Linked DNA regions of Arabidopsis thaliana. The protein of the gene in region 2 interacts with the protein of the main gene of each other region in a pairwise test. Each region holds a gene or a part of one and is shown on either strand. Other genes may lie near its edges.

Region 1 (5,843 bases), about 15 Mb from region 2:
ATAGTCCGAGTTTCGCATGTTTATCGGGAAGCTAACCGTTTTGCTGACGAGTTAGCAAACTATGCTTTTAGTTTACTTTTAGGCTTTCTTTCTTTTGACTCAGGTCTTCCGTTTGTCGATTCGATTATGCGTGAGGATGCTGCAGGTGTTGCTGGGGCTAGACATGTGCCCATGTAATTTTTTATTTTTGGTTCTATTGAATAAAGACGGCAGTCCCTCCCGTTGGTTTACCAAAAAAAAAATAACAGAAAATGAAAGGAAGTCTAGCCAGGAACTGGGCCAAGGCTCTTTTGTTAACATATTTGGGCCTATGGCCATTATTCAAATGATTTAAAGGTTAATTTTTTTTTTGGGTCGTCAACTTAGGGTTGATTAAGTAAAGGTTGGCGTTCCGGAGTATTTTCTTATACTATAATTTAGATGGGTTTCTTGTAGAGTTTGTGATAACTCAAAACTATTTGATTTGTCAGAATAATACAAAATATGTATATTTTATTCTATACTAAATTGAGAGATTATCATTAAAAACGTGTTACCAGCTCCTAAACATGTATCACACTTTCAAATGTCTTCAAGTCATAATTAATATTTCATCATGTTTTTAAAATTCTACTTAGTCTTTGGTGCTCATAAATAAAAACAACTAATGTGTTGCCCGAAAAAAAAAATCAATGACCGAAAAAAAACGGGAACTGATACAGTACATGATTATATTTAACTTTCAGGCGCAAGAATTTCTCTGTTCAAAGAAAAGGTATGTAACCTTATATCCCAATACATTTTACTTTTAACACGTAATCATAAATTATCTACTCCATTAATAACACCACACTAATACCGTAATTATCGAGTCAATACGTGTTATAATATACACGACGAAGATAACACATTAATGATCACATGCAAGAGGATTTAAATAAAATGGCACGACCATACCATATACTACAGATAACATTAAAAAACAGATAATCCAAACTAAACGACTTCGAAAACATCGAGGTCTTCGTCTGTTTCTATCATATTTTAAACAATTTAAATTCAGACACAACTTCTCCACGTTTTTAAATTGTATATACATACCATTTTATTTTTTTTGATAAAATTGTATTGACATACTTCCAAGTATAACTTATTTATTTGGCATACACATATATTGTTCTTAATTTCTTCAACTAAGAAATTTCGAGCATACACCGATAATCTCCTCAGCTTGTTAATTATAGAAAAAGATATGATAAACGAAACTTATAACAGTAGATCAGTATAGTAAAAAAGGAAACGGACCGTGTCATTAATCATAAATATTAGAGGATCTCATGATACACAGGCTACTATACGCCAGGTCTGGACCCTCAGATACAATTAACATGCATACATACATACATAACCATATATTAAATATAAATATATGAGTTGGCCTAACAATGACCCGAAACCCTAGCTATATCTCATAATATATGATGTAGAAGTAAACAGACGATACCCATAATAAGATAAATTTGGTGGCCGGAAACGGATGATTAATAGCTCTCAGATTAAGTAATGCGGATTTAATAATTAAGCAAGCTCCTAATGATGGCTGCTTCGGCGCTGTTGTCGTCCGTCGAAGCCAAGAGTTCCGACAAACGGTCACTGAGGTCATCAACCTCTCTGTGTAAGTTCCTGATGTAGTTGCAAGTCTCTTGTAGTACCTTAGATGCTGACACCTGTCCAATAGTTTAAACATTTTACAATTAGTTTTAAAGTACAAAAAACGATCATTATATCCCTTACAAAGAGTACGTGACAACATGTGCTACTGCCTTTTTTCTTTCTTTGTAACAATTTCATATATATCTTCAAACTTTTAACAGAACTTTAGTTTTTTCTCATGATTGCCACTTCAATGTGCACAACGGTATAAACGGCCACAATTTATTTATCATATTCCTCAGCTATATATAGAATTATGGTGAGTATATAGGTAGAGAAGAGTAATGGGGAGACATGTAGTTAAGGTACGTGGAAGTAGGAAGGGAACAAACTGAGTCCCACACCACCAACTTGTAAAATTTAATTGCAAAAAAACATTCAAAGAACAAACAAGATATATGCATAAATGAGGCTGTGAATTAATGTTACTTTATCTACGTATAGTTAATTGTAGGCCACATGTCTACACGCCGTTGGATTTCACCATGCATATTAATTAGTTATTATATACTATATGGTTCCTATTCATTTGAACTTTCTAAGTCCATGTGCAGGCTAAGTTATACAAGTATACAAAATAAGTATGTATATGCAAGAAAGATAGATTAAAATTTGTTATTTTGAAGTGTATACCTTGTCAGAACGGCGGCGGCGAAGTTCAGGGATGAGGTGTTGGAGCTTAGAAACAAGATCGGAAATCTGATCGTCAGAGATTCTTGAGCTTCCTGACTGTCTTGAACGTGATGATCTTCTGCTAGACATCTTCTTTCTTGATATATTATAAGTGTGTTTGTTTGGGTGTAGAGAGAGAGAAGAATGCAAGAAGGATAAGTAGTTAATGTGTCAGAAAGAGAGAATGAGAGTGGAGAAGAAGGTGTTGAAGAGGGAGGAGCAAAGTGGATGTGTTTTTATAATGCAAATTTATGAAGAGAGAGAAGATCAAGAAGAAGAAGAAGAAGAATAAGAAGGAGAAGAGACAAGTGCATGGAGGGAGGGTGTGGGTTATGTTTCTTTAATAAGGGTGTCTTTAGCTTTCAAATATTTATTATTATTTGTTCTCAGTTTTTTTCATAGTCGCTTAGTACAAAAAGATACTGTTTATTTTTGGTAAGCTTCTAAACTTACTTTCCCACGAGAACAACTTCTTGATTGTTATATGTGTAAAACTCACCCACGTCAAGTTTTTTTCCTTGCTCTCTTTCTCTTATTCCTGTTCCACTTAACCTTCTTTCTTTCGAGCTATTCACATGGTGTAGTATCAACTTCAAGTCTTCAACTTAACGACCTTTATTGAAAATTTAAAGGCTACATGTTAATTTCCTTTAATTTTTCTCAATATTGAACATGACTAAACAATAGATGGATAAGAGTTGATGGAGTTTACAAATGTAAGTCCGTATAATGTGCAGAGTCTATATCAGACGACTAGTCTTATTGTATGTCTATTTTAAAAAAATTCTATTTAATAATTTATCTTATTATATATGTTTTGTGATAATGTATTCTTTTGTTTTTATGAATGAATGTAAAATTTGTTCAACAAAAAACGTTTGTATAATGAATGTGACATGGAGAATTCAAATTTTGAAACTAAATAGAAAGGGTATCAAATAACTAAGATCCAGTGCTAAACCAATAGTGATACTTTACCAAAGAGTGTTTGTATCGTCTCATACGAGTCGTATGATACGACGATTAGAACCTATCTTAAGGGATATTGTAGAGGTTTTCAGTGACTAGTGATGGGACCAAAAAAAATATATATAATAAAAAATACAACTATGCTTAAGTCAAGTCACTCGGTTCGATTTTGGCTAAACCCAAAAAAAAATCCAAACACGTATAACAATGGATTGATCCGCACTCTCTGAAATCAAAACCAAATCAAAGTCAGTCCACAAAGCTACAGAGCTTTCCAAAATCGGGCCAAGTAGAATTAATTCATTGCAACATTTTTGGCTCAACGCATCCAAGTAGAAAAAAACAAAGAATTAAAATAAGAATTGGGAAAGGGACGTAGAAAAGGAGGGGAGGGCCATGGAAAGGAGAAGAGGGATCAAGTGGGGTTTAAAATGGCAAAATGTGTGTTTATCGCCAAACTAAACTGTCCCTCTTTGCCTTCTCTCTCTGTCAGTACCACCATTGCATCCCCACGTTATATGTATTACTTCATTGTCCCTTTTTTTAATCACTTCTCTCTTTTTTACCATTTTTTTTGTATCTTTCAAACTTTTACATTGATTTTTTTTGGAAATTCAATGGTTTTGGAACATGTATAAGTTTGTTCTTCACACATCCATGTTTGACCTTTGATGTAATGTAACATCCAAATATTTTTGAAAATAATATGATTGTTATCCTATACATGATCGTGAAAAGAAAAAAAATCACTGTCATTTATAAGATTAATTATTATTTTTCTTTAGTGTGGTGGTCTATATCATGAAAAGAGTGTAGGACATATGGTACAAGAAAACACCAAAAAATGTTGAAGCCAAATTACGGATCATGTTTTGGATGTAATTACAGTTGACAACTCTGATTTTTTTAATACCTTCCATAAAAATCTGATTTTGAGTACGTAGCATGTGGTAGATGCAGAGATAGGCATTTGATTGTCGATTGGATTCAGTTCGTTGATTTTGCATTGCATTTATTATGTGGTAGATGTTTGCTTTAACTCGGATTTGATCTATTAATCTTCTTTCTTTGTTTTCGTTGTCAACAAGATATAGGTCTTGATCTATATATATGTGTGTATTTTAACTTCTGAATACTTTATTTATTTGCCATCGTTGCTGTCATTGTTTACAGAGGACCATAAATAAAAAGGACAAGATTGATCTATTTATTCATTAAAAACAAAATAAAATTACAAAATTTTCTTAATTTTTTAAGCTAAATAATGAAAATATGTATTTGTCTTTTATAAGACTTGTATTGACATAATTTGATTCTGCATGGTTTGGTATCTTTAAAGTTTGAAATTAGTATATATGTATACATGTTTTGTTTGAAAATAACCCCAAAGCTACAGGACAGATTACTTGTACCGAAAAAACTAAATCAACCTCTTGGATTACTATGAAAAGAATCATCCAATTGGAAGCGACTACTATAGTTCATATTCGGATATACATTGATATATAGACACATGTAACATGAAAATACATTGATGAACACACATTTAAAGCAATAAACAACAAAAACACTATAGGAATTGGATATCGATATCCAATTAGACTATTTGATTCGTCCAAGTCAGAATTCAAAAGGAGACATGGAAGGTTTAATTTGAATAGGAAGCTGAGAGAATGATACGGTTAATTCCGGCGGAGTGAATACAAAACATGCATATGCTACTATTAATGAGACCTACCCTTACACGCAGTCCGAGATCAGTAGCTTTCCTATTAATTAGGAACCCCATCTCTTAGTTTTATGCCGTTTTCTCTGACTTAAATTACATCATTAAAACCCACAAATTCTTCATGAAAAACCCCCCACAAATTTTGGTTATAGAAATTCGAAAAAGAATATGCCTCGAATAAATATCAATTGATAAAGTTAAATTAACTGACTACACTACTAGCTAGCTAGTACTCAGCTATAGAGAGTACACTTGTTTTCTTATACATTATTATTTCTTAAAACAAGTGTAACTTTTTCAACAAATTGTTATCTGTTTGTGGCAAACCCTAGACCGACCAATATCAAGATTTTAATGTGAAGATGCTTATCATGTCACAAGTAAATAGTAGTTGCGGACATTTCATAGTATGGGTTAAAAGGTTAAAAAACGATCGAGGAGCCAAACATTGTTGACGGTCAAAGACATATAACGATAAAACCAACCCATCCCCGAGATTTTAAAACATGGCATGTGTTGTCTCGCAATCTCTGTTTTTTCTTCCATTTACAAAAATAATAATAATCATAACTCATTATTTTAGTCCTTATACATTGATGGAAGCATATGTTCATATATTGAATTACTTGTGGAACAGTGTAAAGACGATGTTCCAAAGATTTATAGATTATTATTACTAAACAACGTCCTTGGACTTCGGATCACGCAGAGAATCTTCTTAATTTTGTTTAAATAGTATTAATAAACTCGTTAATTATTGTAGGAATACGTGTGTGTGTTG
Region 2 (5,843 bases):
GTTACAGAAGGGTGAGGAGATGGAAGGAGATTGGATCGGAGAAGGCCTCACGGGCGAAGCAATAGGAGTCGATCGCCGATCGGAATCGAGATCGGGAACAGAGGAGTGTGGCGGCCATCTCCGAGATGATGACGGTGGTGAGATGGTTCTGCGTTTGTGTCAGCGTCGTGTCTCTTATTATTGTTATTGGATAGAAGAAGAAGAGCATCTCCTCCATTCATCAACCATCCACCATTGCTTTTAGACAACGACCGATGAAGAAGCTTCAATTTCGCCACCAAATTTCACAAATATCAACAAAAATCAATTTCTCTCTCTCTCTCGAAACCCTAAAAACAGATTGAGGATTTGATCTTTGTTCAACTTTTTATTTATATACAGTGTCTCCCCTTTATCCTCGTCAAGGATAACGGGCATCTATTTTCTGATTCAGTCAGTTAACTGTTATCCACCCAAAACGGTGTCGTTACGTTCCTTTTTTCTTTAAATGGGCCTTCTTTCTTTGTCTTAGTCAATGTTTTAAAGCCCATACAATCTTCTTCTTTTTTTTCCACGAGCCCATACAATCTTCTTTGATGTAATGTTACTACTATTTATCAACAGATTCTTGTGTTGTTGTTGTAACAAAAAGAAAGAAAATCAAAGTGGTAGGTATTATACTATGATAATAAATCATCATGTTTGGTGTGGTGTTGAAAGAGCTGAACAAGTGAGTACAAGACTTGAATCCTTGTGACTTGTGGCTTTGCCTGTACGATGAAGTGTGCCCATATTTGTCCTTTTCTTGTTTCCATCACTCCTTTCAATATCTTCAATCCCAATCCTCTCACCACTTGTCCTATCTCCAAGAACTCCTCTCTTTCCTCACACACCATCTCTATCTGCATTTCTCCTTCCCTGTTCAATTCCTCCACCATTATCGGACATACCACTCCTTCTTCCCCCACTTCCAACGCCCATGTTCTCTCTTTCTCCTTCACCAGCTGATAAACATCATTCACTCATCAATACTCAAACACTTGTGTACTTACTGAATGGATATATTTGATTCATTACCTTAGACTCGTATGGTTGTTTGAGTCTCTCTGCATACTTGGCGAGGCTTTGCATGAACACCATGTGTTTTATGGTCAGATCCAGCAACGTATCTATGCTACACTGTTTAAATATATATCGAAACTTATTAGAGAATGCATTTGTTAATCTATAATTTGGATGCCCTAAACTAAACTATATTATTATTCAATTTACCTTAGCTCCATTTGGAATCATCCCTCGCAACTCCTTGATACGGTCTTGTATCATCTGACGGTCCTTAGGCCTCGGCCTCCTGCTTTCTCCTGCCTTTGCTCTTTTCTTCTTCACACCTTCTTCGTGAGGCTTCTTCCAGTTCCCTCCAATACTTGATCTCTCATCATCATCAATCCACAAACTCCGACTTGTTACTGTCTCCTCCTGAGGGAACAAGCTTGAGCTATGCGCCGATGATGTATCAAGCTTCCGTCTTTTGCTCTGGTTCACACCAGAGTACTCTTGCACGTTCGTGAGAGAACTACTACAAGTGTTGTTGCTAAGACTGCTGCTTATGAGCTCTGAGAAGAGTCCTTTAGGTGGCAAAGCCATTGTAGGCGTTTGAGAATTCATCCCCAAAATGTCGAAAAGATCCTTGTCAACTCCTTGGATCACCATGGAAGAGCAGTTCTGTTCTGGTGGATCAGCGAGCAGCTGGTATAGATCGTCCAGAGAGTAAGACTGGAGAATGTCGAACCCATAATCATCTCCATTGGTCAGATCTTGGTTGGAAGAAGCTGCTTCAGAGGAGATCATCTCAGGGCTGAGCAAAGAAGGAGGATTGTCCTCAGCGAAGATGTCATCAAAGCTAAATCCTTGAAAAGATTCAGCTGGGAAAATCTCACAATCTCCCAGTGACTCAAACAGAGTATCGAGATCACCGGAATCATGTGGCTTTAAACACGTCTCCTGGAGAGCTCTTGTTGTTTGTTCCAATATCTCTGTGCTCTCAAGAATCTAAAGATTGATAGTAAGTAATTAGACCATGACTTCCACAACAAGAAAACATTGTTATATAATTATATATGCAAACCTTTTGAGTAGATCCTAGCTGAACAACGCCGCTGGATCCTAGTGGAATGATTGCGATAGTCTGTGTATAAGTAAACTGCCGTATAAGAATCTGATTCAAAATGGATATATGAATCCTTAAACTTGGAGAGAAGACAAAATATAAATTACCTTAAAGCCACAGAGAAACTGATTCTGAAACTCATGTTCCCACTGCAAAACAATCAAACGCACGAATATCAAATCTTTTTTCTTCTTCATCATGAAATGTTCTATGCAGTCACTATATTTCGACATACATTATAGCTCACAGATGAGAAAAATCAAACACCAAGAAAAAGAAGTGAACAAACCTGAAACAATGTGTCTGAGAACAGCCATTGATGGTTTCCGGATGAAGCTACTTCTCCCACAATTCTAATTTCATCAAAAGAAAAGTATATTGAAGATATATAAACACAAACACAGAGACAGATATATAAAAGATTTGAGTGAAGTGTAAAAGCATACCCTTGGCCTAAGATAGGAGCCTGGAGAACCATATCATCAACTAGTGCGACTGATTGTTCATCATTGTATGCTTCTTCAAATCTCAATATCCTGATGGAATTCAACAAAACTAAATTACATTTATGGACACCAAAGTAGGGAAGCCACATATAAAACCAGAGGATATGCAATTCAGTCTTTTGCCTAAATCAACGGAAAACAAAACTAGTTTTATGCAAATATTATCCAAGACAGGAACATGCATATAACATTCGAAAGAAAAAAGAGAGAAATTACATGGAATTGATGGGATCATAACGCCAAAACACAGCATAAGACCATCCATGGCTTAAACAGAGACTCTTCAATATATGCTTATACTCTGAACCCATATTTAGGAATCCAAGCCGGGAAGAGCCCTTTTAATTTCTGCAGGATCTCGAACTCTTAAAAAGGACAACAACTTTTGTCTTCTCCAGAAACCAAACTCCAAAGATAAAGAAAAGCTGGAAACAGAGGAAAAATGTGGGTTTTTGAGTTTTCTCTTTTTTTCTTTAATTTTCTGCAGATAGAAAAAAATACAGAGAAAATTCCTTTGAGTTTTGCTTTTTGTTCAAGCAATTAAAAAGGAGTTAAGAGCTTTGTCTCTCTATATATATAACCAAACAATAACATGAAATGTTTGTAATTCGATAAGAAGTGGAAGAGCCTTTTTGTCTGAGGAATTAAATATATTACTATTATTTATTTGATGTGATTTGTCTGCCGGTGTCCAGTCACGCTTTTGTCCCGGAAGTGACGTGAATTACACCGGCTATTGCCGGTTTAGTGAAAAAGTTTGCTTTGATTACTATATATTTATTTGTTGTCTTTTGAAAAATTTAGGACGGGAGAGGATCTTCGAGGGTATAATTTCCATAAAGGGAGATTTTATTTTGATTTTACTTTTTATCATCGATTCATTAAATACTCGATACGAATTTATGATATACTTTAATAGTATTCAATATATTTAGATATGATTAATTAACTAACATTTGATGAAAATTTCTATAGTGGAAACTGGTGCAATGGAAAAATAAAAATGAGGAGAATGTGATCCCCACAACAGAGGAAGATAAATGGTGCTGTGGAGTTTCTAGCGATCATCTTCTCCCTCGTATCCTATATCTTGAACATCATATTAAAGCTTAACATCGACCGTTTTTGGTTGGAAAATATGGTTTAGAGTTATAAAGAAAGAATGACCGCCTCTTTAGTGTATGGGCCAATGAGGTTCCCAAAATATGTGTCACCTAAATCTTGAATTCTCGGTATGATAATCTTGACTTAAGTAGTTCTCAAATCTCGATCCACTGCCTCATATAATTATATCAACAGTCTAACACCAATGTCGTCAGCAGTCACATACATTCGTAGAGTATGCATTCATATATAAGCCAGATATATACATATCATAAGAGATTTGTTATACCTATATTCATCCAAATGTTTAGTTGTGGTCTCTTGTGGTACCAACCTAAAAAAAATAAGGTTATGCTTCCGCCTTAAGTCTTGAGAGCTACTATCTTTTTTCTTTAATATAACTAAACATCTTATTATTATCAGGAAACCATGCATGTTTAATTTTAAGTTTATATAGAAGATCACAAGCAAGGAAAAATGTGAATGTTAAATAGACTTGAACATTAGTTCATGAATAGTATTAAACGTGTTTTAATTTGTTACTTTATTACTTTATTTTAGCTATTTATTTGTACATGGTGCTATTTTGTACCTATGTTTTGAGTTTTCAATGGATTATTTATATCTTAAAACTTTATACTATATAAACTCTGATATCAACCTTCGAATTTCATGATTTTACTGAATATTACTATGGAAATACGATATAAAATAGAATTTAGAGAACATCAAAGGCATATATAGCAAACGTTAGAAATACATGCCTCAATATTTGAGACCCATTTTTGTTACTCGCAAGTCGCGCAACATCTCACACCACACATTACATGCCTAAGCCTAAGTGCCACAAATACATCACCTTTAAAAAAAAAAAAAAAAAACTTCTCGGCCTAAGCTAATGTACATGCACTTAATACACTTTTAGCTTCTTGATAGTGGTAGAGAATATCAATAGATATCCACAAATCTTGAAATGGAATAAGTGATTATAATTACATATCAAATGAAGAAAAACTCATCAATCAATTTATTTTTTGGGGTTATTAGAAATAGCCATAATTTGGTCTCTTATACTCATCACACGCTCAATCATGGCCGTTGAGAACAAAAGTCAACGGCATCAAGATTTTCACCTTAATCCTTTTTCGTCTTTAGTTGATTTATTGTCCCTTTTCGAAACTTTCCGTTCTTATTACAATTGTGTCCGAAAGTGGTGAAATAAATCCAAAAGTTGGATTTTATGTTGTACACTTGCTTTTTGTTAGATAAGCTATTTTAAAACTTTTCGTTAAAATATGTGACTAGAGAACATATTTTTCTGTCAAAAACAAAACAAAATTCCTTTATCGCTTAAAACTTAAGAGTAACTCTAACTAACTACCATTAGTCCACATATATATGTACTAAGATAGAGATAGTGTTGGATTCATACTTTTCTTTAAATTTAGAGTATTTTATTCATAATATACATAATTTTTGTTAGATTTGATAATATATTTTTACTATGACAGTTGCAAATATGTATTGTTTATGTGACAAATTCTTTATTCAATGAGTTGTGGAAAACAAGGTAAAACTTATTATATAATCCAATCATATTTTTAAAAACAACTACAAAATATTACGAATTTATATGTCATGGTTAACCGCTAAAAACTTCATCTTTGAAAGCACACAAAATTTTTAAAATCTTTTGCATTTGACTCTTAATTTGTTCGAAAAAATAGCTATGGAGAATATGTAAACTTTTTCTATATGAGAAAAATTTGTGGTTATTAGTCTCCTTTGTTATTGCTTTAGGTTCTGTGTCTTTTGTTCGATATCTATTATGAGACCAATTTTTGTTAGCCCTATACCCTAGTCTACATAAAATAGAAATGAGTTTCAGAGTTAATTTATACTTTCCATGTTTTAAAAAGAATGATGTTTTGGATTTTTCACCCAATTTAAAAAAGAATATTTTTTATTTTTATTATAAGTTTAGTGATATTAAAACTATTTTCTTGGTTGACAAATGAAAGTAATAATGAACTTGATACGAATAAGAAGAAGAAAAACTCCAAAAATCAATTTTCTAGTTTACACAA
Region 3 (5,843 bases), on a different chromosome or scaffold from region 2:
TTATAGAGTGATTATCCCAAGACTTGTAAGTCTTAATTCTCGGTTTAACCCTCAAATATACTTTAAAAGGTTAGAAAATGTTGCATTTACTAGATTTTTAAAGTTATCAAAAAGTTTTTGGAGAAACAAAAAACATATTGTGGATTCCAGATAAACTAGACAGTAGTCGCATATATAGATGTATAGATGTAAGTTAATTTAACAAATGATTTCTTAATATCTATTGGTTTTAGATTTTCAATTAGTATTGAATTTTTATTTTAGAGATGGTTCACTACTACGATAGATCAATTAAAACGTTAAAATGAATATAAGTTCTGACAATGGACAAAATGAAACACTGGTTTAAAGAATGAGTAAGATATCTTTGTTAATAGCAAAGCAATAATTTAGTAAGGTTTTCTAACTTTCCGGTAAAACCCCGAAGTAAGTGAAAAGGTTCCCACATTTGTCTGTGTAGGTAAACAAGAACACTTGACCAAGAAAGACAATAAGAACACATGAAAACAAACACATATTTGACATATAATATGATAACTTCTATTTGCTTGTTTGTGAAATGTAGATAAAACAAAGTAAACACAAAGAAAAAATAGTGATATTCAAAAAGGAAATAGGATGGTCAAAATTGTGTGGTGAGATAAGAAAGGGCACTCACATGTTCACACGATGGAACACTAACGTGTGAGGTTAATGATTGCTTTTGCCACACTACCCATAAACTTCAGAAGGAATTTTTAAAAAAATTAGAAGTTTTTCTATAGTTTCTTTTGAGTTGAATACAAATATAACTTTAACAATAATATATAGTGCAAAAGCTAAAAATATTTCTATAAGATATACTTTTTGGTCGAGAGGTTGAGTATAGAGGGGACACCAGCTGCCCCAAAACCATCACGCTCCATGGACAAACTTTCTCCACCTTTTTTTTTCCTTCTTCTTCTTCTCTTAGTTTTCTTCAATATTATTTTATTAAATTCGCCATAAAATTATAGTTTATAGAAAACAATTATTAAAAAAGAGAGAAAGGGAAAAGGGAGAGTGATGAGAAGAGTCGGTCCTTTTTGTCTCATAGAGCCAATGGCCCATCAATTTTATTTCCTTTTGTCAGTCTCCTTTTCTCACGCTTCCTCTTCCTTTAATCCCACATTCACCTTCTTCTTCATATATATTCCAATTTACTAATGGTCTAATTGGCTATATTATTGAGTCATTTGGTTCATATATCCCCAGCCTCCCATAGAGGCAAGTTGGTGAGCCATTTTCTATAAACAAAACGGATACCTATTGAAGAAACCAGAATAGAGATACATAGCAAACATAGTATCTCTACAATATTTCAAAACACTTTCATTATAAATATAACAGATATGTACAAACCTCACTAGATACGGATACACATCATTATACATTCTAACATATTCTTCTTATTCACACGAAACTTTAGAGCCAAAATTCGATTAGTAAAATAAACTAAAAGAAAGTAAATTAAAGTAAGTTTTCAGTATTTTTGGTTAATCCTCTCAAGTCTCATCACACTTTCATTGTACATGTAGCCGTACATAATATGAAATTTGGCGTCCTAAATATACAACGTATATAAAGTGTTACTTTTTCGAATATACGTTTAAGCATTTTTGTGTCATGCATAAATGCACGTCTTTTCCATATGATCAACAAAAACAGTAGACTAGACATTTCGCTAACACTTAATTAATCTCAACTAAAAGTAAAACAGTTCGTCATAATCACATGGATATATACGAATATATAAGAAAGAAAGAAAACCAGGCACTGCTTATATTCTTTGGTCTGAAAAATGTGGTCAAATGTACACATTTAGAAAGACATGAACAAAGAAAGAGATAGGAGAGTTTGGATTCATTTGGGGACAAAGGTGACATAAGGGTCGCTTTGAAACTCACAGCATACAAACATAGACCTTCTCTTCACTATATATACATATATATTCACATGTATAGTGTGTATATGTAAATCGAAGTACCCTAGTTTCTTTTGGACTTCACCAATCACATCTGTTACTTAGATTCTTCTACGTCGACAAATATTCCCACAATCTCAAAACCCTAGTCATCACACCAACAACCAAAAAGATATATATAAATAGAGGAAAATAACATGACAAATATTCTTTATATATAATATAGATCTTTTTCTTTTTCTTGAAAAAGAAAAAAAAAAGAAAAGAAAAAGAACACACCAAACCTACTTACAACATTTGCTTACACTCCCAAGACTTAGTAACTAAAACCATATAACATATATATTATTAAAGAGGAATAAAAAAGGTTTTGGTAATTATAACCAAGTTAATTATGATCATACCCTATATATATTAATCAATTATAGACTTTTTAGTGTGCTCAATTCTCATCATTTCACACCATTATGATGTGATCCAGCGCACGACGCCGCTTTGACCGTTCTCCTCCTCCACCACCAGAACTACGTTCCATCAACGACTTGCTTGACCGCTCAAGCAGCGACTTGAGAGCATTTTGCAAAAAATGCACAGACTCGACGCCGTGCATCTCTTTGTCAGCAGCTACGACAAGAACACTTCTTGTCCGACCACCAATGGTTACCATCTCAGCTCGGAGAGTCTTCATGTTAAGAGACTTGAGAATCTCCATAAGGTCCGGCAAGAGATCTGATCTATCTTCACAACATAGAGAGGCTTTGAAGATTATATGACCGTCGTTTGAATAGTCTCCAAAGTGTAGAACACTAATTTCGTCGGTCTCTGATGGTAATAATGTTTGGTCGGAGTCGGAGGTCTCTAGGGTTTGCTGTTTAAGTTCTCTGACTCGTTGAACTACTTTGGCGAGCAGTGTGGCTTTATCGGTCTGAAAATAGAAACATGAAATTACAATGAAAAGTTTGGATCAAGAAGTTGAAATTTGATGTTTGTATCAAATCAAATCAACTGAAAAAGCTTGAGAACTTTCCCAAAAAGTGATATACTATCCCAACGAGCTTCACAAAAAGGCCATGAAGCTTTTCGTTTTTCTCATCTGATCACTACTCGCCAGTTTTGAATATTCAAATCAAAATATATATCAATCTTTAGAATTATAAATGTAGAAAATTAGGGATCATCTTTGATAAATATGTGCTTGTTAATAAGTAAGAATAGTAAGACAAAAAAGACTCAATTGAAACCAAATGATTATAAAATGTTATCATGAAAAAGTACAGTATTCATGAGCTAACACCAAATCGAATGAAACATGAGAAAATTTTAAAGATGTAAACTCTGGGTTAGAGAAGATGCAAAACCCTAATTATATACCCATTTCAAAAATCTTTTCTTAAAATTTCAAAGAAATATATACGTACAGATGTATAAACATCATATGTACGAGGAGAGATACATACGCCAAATGAAAAAGTATCAAAAGTTTATATTACCTTAGAATTACAAGAGAGTACGTTACGAAGCTTGTTGAGATGAGAATTGATCCTCTCTCTCCTTCTTCTCTCAGCTTCTTTGTGGTTCCTCAAAGCAGCTAAAGCTCTGTCTTGAGCCATCGTTTCTCCGATGCCGGAGATCGCCAGTGGGTAATACGATGACGTCGACGACGAAGACCCACATAAGCTCTGCATAGTCGTCATGTAGTCGCCGGAGACGCAGTACCCTCCACCGCCGACTTCGTTTCCGGCAAGAAACGAGTACAACATCTGATCTGAGGTCTCTGGTTGCATTATCTTTTGTTTGCGCCGCCTTCTTTTGGTTTTTTGTTAATTAATGGGGTTTGTGGAGCTTTCGGTGGGTTCTGTCCTAAAAGATGGATTATATATACGTGAAATGAGAGGGTAGAGAGTGTAGATTATTTTTTTTATTTTTTTTATTTTAGATGTTAAATACTTGATTTTTGTATTTATATATATATTGGTGGGGAAAAAGTTGCTATAGAGTTTGAAATTTTTAGGAAGGGTCCTTAATTAGGTCATTGTCTTGCCACCATCATCATTCTAAATAGTTCTATATGATCCATCAATTGAACTGAAGATACATACGGACTTTTGGGACTATATAGTATATTACTGCATTTCCAAAATTCAAAAATTCAAAAACAAATCTCAAAAAATTGAACATTCTTTAAATCTTTACTTATGAATAATAATGATGTTTTACCACTACCATAATAATGATCCTTTAAGTTATTATGATAAGATACCATTTCTAAGGTATTAAAGATAAACAATAAAAGGCATATCCTGATATGATTTATGCTGCTTCTATCATTGTGTTTTGTCCGGATAAATCTCACACAGTGCAATGCGATAACATAAATTTGTTATTTAACAAAAATTAAATAATATACAGTATTTGTTTTAACTTAATGTCTGGAAAAACTTGAGTATTCAAAAGCCCTAATTTTTTTTTTTTGACAACATAAAAGCCCTAAATAATCAACAAATTTGATAATCATAAGAGAAAGCTACTGCAGAAAAATAATTTACGAATGAGACAACCATATGATATGAGGAAGGCTTCGCCATAAAATATGGGCCTAAATTATATAAAAAATAAGGACCCAAATAGTGGCCCAATTACAAAGTTTTGGTAAAACGGTGACCACAAAACTGGCGCAAGCCAGAACCATGCAGTAGAGACAGAGCTCGACCTTTGACTTTGATAATGGCAGTTTCTTCGAAACATTTCCAGGTTCCTTCATCTTTCACGCTTCCTCCATCTTCTTTCTTCAGCTCCTTAATCCCTTCTTCTCCAATCTCTGTTACTGCTTCAACGATTCGAGCCTCCACAAAATTTAGCTCCATACGCGTCCGTTTCAGTCGAAGATCAATCGTCAGATACAACGACCACGCCGGAGAAGACGAAGAGGATAGTGACGAGGATAAGGAAGAATATTGGAGCTTTGAGGAAGCAGTGACTCTCTTCAACAAGAGGGATTATTACAAAAGTCATGACGCGCTTGAAGCTCTTTGGATTCAAGCAGAGGAACCAACTCGTACCTTAATCCATGGAATTCTTCAATGTGCTGTTGGATTTCACCATCTATTCAACAACGTAAATCTACTCTCCTTTTAACTCCATCTATTGCTCGTTTTCGTTCACGTTTGAGGTAATTTTAGTGAGTGTTTTGGGATTTGAAGAACCATAAAGGAGCGATGATGGAGTTAGGAGAAGGAGTATGTAAGCTAAGGAAGATGAATTTCGAAGACGGACCGTTTCATGAATTCGAGCGAGATGTCTCCGCAGTTCTTGAATTCGTTTATCAAACTCAGCTTGAACTTGCTGCCTGTAAGTTTTGAATTTTGAATTTTTGATTGAGGAAACCATTTAGCAAATTGAACCTAATTGTGACACTCAAGAAATCTGAATTGATTGATGATAGGTTCAGAAGATATGTGTTTGACGATGGATCAATCAGACAGATCGTATCAACTCTTAGGTGGTTATGCAGCTGGAGAGAGTATTTACAGCTTAGAGACTGTGCTTGACTTCAACAATGGAATGTCTGAGACAACTTCTATACTCTTCTCTCCTTTACATTCATCGTCTGAGCCAACTCGGGTTAAGCTCCCTACCCTTACCGCAACCGATAAGCATCTTCTTGCTTCTACATACGACGACAGATTCTAAAGAGAATGATCAATACGAAGATAATAGAAGAAGATCTCATTACTGTTATATTTCAAGAATCAGGTTCTGAACCTGTCAATAACATGAACAATGAGTCATTTAGACAAAAGGTAAAAACACATAACATTCCTGTCTTTTTAACCAGCAAAAACCAGCCATGAATGAAATTTTAGAACAAAGCGAAGGAACATTCTTTATGAAATTACATAAG

The links.
Region 1: the proteins of AT1G64625 (region 2) and KDR interact in a two-hybrid assay, tested with the Arabidopsis thaliana proteins (one large-scale study listed by BioGRID).
Region 3: the proteins of AT1G64625 (region 2) and AT2G41130 interact in a two-hybrid assay, tested with the Arabidopsis thaliana proteins (one large-scale study listed by BioGRID).

Annotation. Positions count from the first base shown.
Region 1 is NC_003070.9:9,348,182-9,354,024, reverse strand, and holds KDR (basic helix-loop-helix (bHLH) DNA-binding superfamily protein), read right to left. Parts: upstream 2,866-5,843; 5' UTR 2,455-2,865; coding exon 2,326-2,454; intron 1,707-2,325; coding exon 1,551-1,706; 3' UTR 1,192-1,550; downstream 1-1,191. UniProt on the Arabidopsis thaliana protein: Atypical and probable non DNA-binding bHLH transcription factor that regulates light-mediated responses in day light conditions by binding and inhibiting the activity of the bHLH transcription factor HFR1, a critical regulator of light signaling and shade avoidance.
Region 2 is NC_003070.9:24,013,998-24,019,840, reverse strand, and holds AT1G64625 (Serine/threonine-protein kinase WNK (With No Lysine)-like protein), read right to left. Parts: upstream 3,186-5,843; 5' UTR 2,964-3,185; coding exon 2,869-2,963; intron 2,683-2,868; coding exon 2,593-2,682; intron 2,500-2,592; coding exon 2,436-2,499; intron 2,296-2,435; coding exon 2,254-2,295; intron 2,195-2,253; coding exon 2,105-2,194; intron 2,029-2,104; coding exon 1,252-2,028; intron 1,159-1,251; coding exon 1,057-1,158; coding exon of another isoform or gene 1,012-1,056; exon of another isoform or gene 984-1,011; coding exon 660-983; 3' UTR 570-659; downstream 1-569. UniProt on the Arabidopsis thaliana protein: Transcription factor that may regulate root development.
Region 3 is NC_003071.7:17,141,243-17,147,085, reverse strand, and holds AT2G41130 (basic helix-loop-helix (bHLH) DNA-binding superfamily protein), read right to left. Parts: upstream 3,930-5,843; 5' UTR 3,727-3,929; coding exon 3,433-3,726; intron 2,868-3,432; coding exon 2,400-2,867; 3' UTR 1,803-2,399; downstream 1-1,802. Other genes in the region: AT2G41120 (DUF309 domain protein), read left to right, coding at 4,667-5,056, 5,143-5,290, 5,385-5,632.